2 linked regions of the Bombyx mori genome follow. The protein of the gene in region 1 interacts with the protein of each later gene in a pairwise test. Links are inferred from orthologs where the notes say so. Each region holds a gene or a part of one and is shown in the gene's direction. Other genes may lie near its edges. The genes, in order: moesin/ezrin/radixin homolog 1 and rho GTPase-activating protein conundrum.

Region 1 (2,939 bases):
TGTTGCGTTGTGGTAAATGAGAGTGGACTGTATTTTTTGGTTTTGATAACTTTATTAGTCTTTAAGTGACAAATAAAAAGATATATGAAATATGAAATCGATGTGTCGCCCTTGGCGGCTGGAATTGAAAAGGGGAAAGTGTCAAATCAAATCAAAAACAAATTATTCAACATAAATGAAAGTACATACTTGTTGAACGTCAAAAAGAACTACCGCCAATTCACAAAAACTAGCCTCCGTCCTGAGAAGAATTGGCAAGAAACTCAGCGTCCATGTCTTTTTTTTTTTAAATATTAGATAAATTTTTTGTCATAGTGGACGTCGCTCGTTGACACTTTTGACGTTTCGAATTCAAACAGTCGCCAATCTCTTTAGTTTCTTTAGAATCAAAACGCAGTATCGCTACGGCCGAGGACACAATTGACAAATGTTTATTGTATGATGCAGGCCAACTTGCTCGAGGCCCAGGACATGATCCGGCGCTTGGAGGAACAGCTCAAGCAGTTGCAGGCCGCCAAGGAGGAGCTGGAGCGGAGACAGGGAGAGCTGCACGACATGATGCAGAGACTCGAGGAGACCAAGGTAATTTACTTGTTTAATAAAAAACAGCCCACAGACGTCCACTGCTGGACATAGGCCTACCCCAAGCCTCGTCACAAAGACCGGTCCTGCGCTGCTTGCATCCAGCGGATCCCCGCGAACCTCAATAGATCGTCGGCCCATCTAGTGGGACGCCTGCCCACGCTGAAAAAAAAACCAGCTTATTCACTGTATAAAGTAATTCATTTACATAATTAAGTGAGGTAAAATGTTATAAATTTATAACGAGGAGAAATCCAGTAGAACATATTTTTAATAATGAGCGTTCGCCCTGTTCGGTTCCAAACAATATTCGTTCAAGAAACAAATGACTTGTGTTGTGACTTCCAAAGAGTAGTTTATAGGATCGCTTAGTTTTAAATACAATTAAATTACATGACTGAAATTTGTCTATGAATTCGTTCATCCCTTCTCTGTGTCAACTTTAGAAAATTGGGGAATGAAAATGACAATATGTATTGATATTGTAATATAATATCTTGTTTACTTTTTTGTACTTTTTATTTACTGGTGGTAGGACCTCTTGTGAGTCCGCACGGGTAGGTACCACCACCCTGTCTATTTCTGCCGTGAAGCAGTACTGCGTTTCGGTTTGAAGGGTGGGGCAGCCGTTGTAACTATACTGAAACCTTAGAATTTATATCTCAAGGTGGGTGGCGCATTTACGTTGTAGATGTCTATGGGCTCCAGTAACCACTTAACACCATGTGGGCTGTGAGCTCGTCCACTCACCTAAGTAATAAAAATAATAATAATGTACATAATTTTGTTATAGAATATGGAAGCAGCAGAACGTGCCAAGTTAGAAGAGGAAATCCGCACTAAACAAGAGGAAGTACAACGCATTCAAACCGAAGTCGAGCTCAAGGACTCGGAGACGCGGCGCCTGCAGGACGAGGTGGAGGAGGCCCGGCGCAAGCAGGACGAGGCCGCGGCGCTCCTGGCGGCCGCCACCACCCCGCAGCACCACCACGTGGCTGAGGACGGCGGGGTGGACGACGGCTCCGACCACGGCGAGGAGTCCGGCGGCGGAGACCTGCACCAGGCGCCCGACGACCTCGTCGACCCGGTCGAGGCCAGGACCACCTTGGCCGAGAAGAACGAGCGGCTACACAACCAGCTCAAGGTAACTAACAGTGCTCTCACGCTGCACCGCGGCAACGAGCTGCCAACCTATATTCAACAGCATCTCACTGCAAGTGTGACAGAGTTTAGCCATACAAACTATACTCGTATTATTTTAAAACTTAGAGATATTAAAGGATAAGGTCTAGAATAAACTTATTTTGAAATGGTAGGGTAGATGGATTTGTGCTATATATTTGTTAACTTTAACTGAATTAAACAACAAAAATATATCGCTCAAACAATTGCTCGACTCCACACCGTGAGTGTTTGAAAATTGCATTTTGTGAAAAGATTAAAATTAAATTTTTCTCGATCAGTGAGCACACGACGAGCCTTTTAAAAAAACAATAAAATTAATTTATCAATTATTTTTTTTGTAATTATGGAGTATATTATATAATATCTCGGTATCTTTTCAACAGGCGCTGAAACAAGACCTCGCGCAGTCCCGCGACGAAACTAAAGAGACGGCCATGGACAAGATCCACCGCGAGAACGTCCGCCAGGGACGAGACAAGTACAAGACGCTCCGCGAGATCCGCAAGGGCAACACCAAACGTCGCGTCGACCAGTTCGAGAACATGTAACTTAACGTCGCCGGCGCTGACTGTAGGGAGCTGACCTGCACACGACACATAAATCACAGAATCGCGCTCAAAATAAACTGAATATCGATTTTTGTACAATCGATAGTAAATTGTAACGATATTTTAGTATTTTCCAAATTGTCATTCAGTATTAATTAATAGGAACAGTGACTAAGAGCAGTTCGTATCTTCGAGCTCGGGTGTGTAAATTAAATAATGTAGCGTATATAAAATACACAAATTTTGTACTTTTTTAAAAAAAACTACTGTTCATAGCAGTAATTCTTTAAACTGGCAACACTGTAAAGTGTCACAACGTATTCAAAATAAATTATCTTACCAAAAGTAAACTCTTCCCGTAGCAGCTCCGTTAGCTCCCAGCATGTCGACGTGCAGAGTCCGGTGGCCGTACTGCTTGTAAGCTCATGTATTCGTATGTAACATATAGTATTGGGGAATGTGTGCACGGACTTCACACCAGGCCTAGTCTAGATTTAACGAATGTCCATTAGAAAAAGAGAAAGATACAATTGAATTACTAGTTTAGGCTTAAAAGTCTGTACGTAAAGTTAGCATCCCGACATCAGTGTTACTGACATTGTTAATAACACTGATGACGATCGG
Region 2 (3,833 bases), on another chromosome or scaffold:
TGTGTGTGTGTGTGTGCGTGTGCGTGTGTGTGTGTGTGTGTGTGTGTGTATGTGTAGATGCGTGTTAATACCTAATATATAAATTGCTCATTACCAAAAATGTGTAAAAATGTGTAATCTACTCCAGTAATTCTTCTATATCTTCGTATGTAAGGGAGAAAAGCCATCTATCAATGATAATTTTAACTTCTTTAGAAATAAGTGGATAAATATTTAGTAATTTATTTATCTTGTTGTACAGAATAGAGCTTAAATACCTATAGTGAGACCTGACTACATTATAATTTGCTACATAGATTTTGCACACTCTGCCCTGACGACGAGTTTGCGAACAGATATTAGGGTCAAAAACGAGTTCCAAATGTTTACGTAACAATGTGCTCCTAATAAAAGATTGTCTAACTCGAGGCACTTTGCAGATATCATACAATTCCTCCGTTGGAAACCTTATTGGTTTTTTAGATATTACTTTAAGCACGGCTCTCTGTGCTCTTTCCAATCTAAGTAATAATCCTTTCTTACAGCCTCCCCAGACGACAATGCAATAGGTTATGACAGAGTGTGCCAAAGCATAATAAACCATTTTCAGTATGTCGAGATCGCTTGATGTTCTTAGCTTCCGAAAGACAAAGATAAGCTTTCGTACTTTTCCAACCAAATCATTTATATGCTCTTGCCAAGATAGGGTGCCGTCAATTTTTAGACCAAGATATTTTACAGCATTAGTTCGTGAAATTTTTTGACAAAGATCATTATATAGGGGTGTTGTTCCCAGGATTGGCCGGAGGCGGACAGTAACGTGGACATAGAGAGCATAAGCGAGCCTCAACTGAAGCGCTTGCAGCCGCTACTGTGGTTGGAGCTCACGGCGATATTCGACAAGTACTCGCTGCCCTTCCAGAAGAGGAAGCCACCCAAAAAGAAGCGGAAGGAAGGTACGAGAAACCTAGCAGGAAATAGGAAAGCTTTTTCTTAATAATTTCAACGATCCTCTATCAAGGACCTTATAGTCTTAATAATCTTATACTGGTGGTAGGACCTCTTGTGAGTTCGCACGGGTAGGTACCACCGCCCCGTCTATTTCTGCCGTGAATTGTGTTTCGGTTTGAAGGGTGGAGCAGCTGTTGTAACTATACTGAAACCTTAGAACTTATATCTCAAGGTGGGGGGTGCATTTATAGATGTTTATGGGCTCCGGTAACCAGTTAACACCAGGTGGGCTGTGAGCTCGTCCACCCATCAAAGCAATAAAAAAAATCCTACTTATCCTTCGTAGTATGTGTTATAAGGGCTGTTACATTGCAGAGGGCTCCGTGTTCGGCGTGTCCTTGGAGACGCTGGTCCGCAAGGACATGATCCTGTGGGAGGAGACGTGCAGCGCGCCGAGCGTGCTGTGCTGCGTCACGCGCGCGCTGCGGGCTCGCGCGCACCACGAGGGGCTGCTCAGGGTCTCCGGGAACAAACAGAAGGTAACAACATGCTCCTCCACCACACTAGTTCTAGTGAACGTAATTCTAGCGGTAGGCAGCGGCATGGCTCTGCCCCTGGCATTGCTGAAGTCCATGGGCGACGGTAACCACTCACCATCAGGTGGGCCGTATGCTCGTCTGCCTGAACTGTGAATAAAAAGTAAAAAAAAACCATCAGTTTGCTATCGAGAAAAAAAACTATTTAATTTCACCTCTTCTCAATCGATTTAATTATTTTTTTTCACTCATTCTTATGACGCTTGAAGGGAACAGCTGATTTCACTCAATTTTAACTTCACCGTAGCTCAGTTTTTATCGCACCGCCCAACTAAACCATTTCTCCCCAAACAATCTTACCTAACATCGCCTAAACACAGACTTCGGAGAATTTTGTTCGTGATTTATATCTGCTTTAAATGGACATTGCTTTATTAATATAGATTGACTGGTGGTAGGACCTCTTTTGAGTCCGCACGGGTAGGTACCACCATCTGCCTATTTCTGCCGTGAAGCAGTAATGCGTTTCGGTTTGAAGGGTGGGGCAGCCGTTGTAACGATACTGAGACCTTAGAACTTATATCTCGAGGTGTGTGGCGCATTTACGTTGCAGATGTCTATGGGTTCTAGTAACCACTTAACACCAGGTGAGCTGTGAGCTCGTCCACACATCTAGGCAATAAAAATAAAATAAAAAAATATTTAATAGTTAAGTATTGAAATGAACAAGTGGCTACACAACGTGCGATCTATGGGATTGACATCAGAGAGGCCACATGACTTTTCGTTAGCTTATGTTAATATGTTAGGCGGGGGACCCTCGAAATTCTGATACCAAAGTCTACCTTAATTGAATAAAAACATTAGTTTCCCTTCGTCTGATATAAAATGAAAATAACAATGAAATTGCCAGAACCATTCCAAATTTTAAATGATTTAGGTATGTTAGGCGGGAGACCCTGGAAATTCTGATCCGAAAATCTACCTGTATTGAATAACAAAGATTATAGTTTTTCCCTTTATAAATATAATACTAGCCGTATTCGCCCGCTTCGCTGGGCATTTAAAATTAACATTATTATTTCTCACCTCCACAAAGATACTCATCATTAACGCCCCCACAACTGGTGTAGGGAGTCCAACACTCATATAAATATTAGCCTATCCATTAAGTACATGTATTTTCTACATGGATACCATGTTTCAAGTCAATCGGATGCATGGTTCAGTAGTTATAACGGAACATCCGTAAAAACCACTGTAGATTTATATATTAGTATAGATAAATTAAAACCAATGAAATTGCCTGAACGATTCCAAAATTTGACTTAGGTATCAGAGCTGAGTCAGCTGATAGAGCGGCAGTGGTACGAGGACCGCGGCGCGGTGGAGGCGGCCGTCTCGCTCGCCAAGGGACACGACCTCGCCGCCGTCTACAAGCGGCTGCTGCGGGCGCTGCCCCAGCCCCTACTCACGCAGGAGCTCATGAGGCTCTTCTACCACACTTATGGTACGTATATTCAACACTGCTGTCTTTTTTGACGTGACAACGTCTTATAATTCGATGGAGCCGGCTGCACGCACGAAAAAACATGACTCATGCGGCGTTACCTCGCTCTGAGGCGTTCCATTAAGGCTTGAAGTGCAAGCGAGAACGCGCAACGAGCGACAAAGAGGCACAATCGGCCGCCGCGTTCGGCAGCGTTCGACATCTGTCTCTCTCCTACTTGAGTGAGCGATGCATCCGCGTGGACAGCTGCTATACAATAATACATTTACATGTTTTCGTCAAGTATCAGTTCAGTGAAAAGTGAATGTGGTGTCAATTGTTTATAGAAACGATAATTGCGATAATTGAAAAATGAAACCATTCCATCAGTATTTTCTTATGACGTTGTGCGTTCAACTATCGTCAGTAGTATTGATACCGTACCGAGAATTACCGAATTTAGACGATGTCAAGAAAAGGGATGTCCAATATGCGTGTTTGAGAATGTTGCTCAATCGATTTTTTTTTTCAAAATGATTAAAAAAAAAATAAAAAAAAAATGTGTGCGTGTACTAGTGTACACACGTAAGAAGTGAAACTTGTTTATGGCCTTATTTTTCGAAAAATGATCTACATGCAACTTTCTAGAAATTGGTTAAATAAAGTTAAATTAGATAAAGTTTAAACAAAAGGATTTTATTATCATAGACATGAATACAAAAAAGTTAAATTAGATAAAGTTTAAACAAAAGGATTTTATTATCATAGACATGAATACAAAACAGATGGCGCGTAACGGAAAAATGTGACGCGTAACCGAAAAATGTGACGGTAAATTTTTTTCCAACGCCGATAAGGAAGTTTCACTTCAAAAAAGA

What was found.
Region 2: the proteins of moesin/ezrin/radixin homolog 1 (region 1) and rho GTPase-activating protein conundrum interact in binary tests that used the Drosophila melanogaster proteins (3 or more experiments, as listed by UniProt). The link is inferred for Bombyx mori from reciprocal best matches to the Drosophila melanogaster genes Moe and conu.

What each region holds. Positions count from the first base shown.
Region 1 is NC_085115.1:15,742,915-15,745,853, forward strand, and holds part of moesin/ezrin/radixin homolog 1, read left to right. Parts: intron 1-447; coding exon 448-582; intron 583-1,375; coding exon 1,376-1,726; intron 1,727-2,150; coding exon 2,151-2,315; 3' UTR 2,316-2,939. UniProt on the Drosophila melanogaster protein: Involved in connections of major cytoskeletal structures to the plasma membrane. Together with wgn, involved in control of axon targeting of R8 and R2-R5 photoreceptors, independent of egr.
Region 2 is NC_085111.1:1,609,573-1,613,405, reverse strand, and holds part of rho GTPase-activating protein conundrum, read left to right. Parts: intron 1-775; coding exon 776-935; intron 936-1,305; coding exon 1,306-1,469; intron 1,470-2,798; coding exon 2,799-2,976; intron 2,977-3,833. UniProt on the Drosophila melanogaster protein: GTPase-activating protein (GAP) for Rho1; functions with the ERM protein Moe to regulate Rho1 and control proliferation in the developing epithelium. Recruited by Moe to the cell cortex where it negatively regulates Rho1 activity.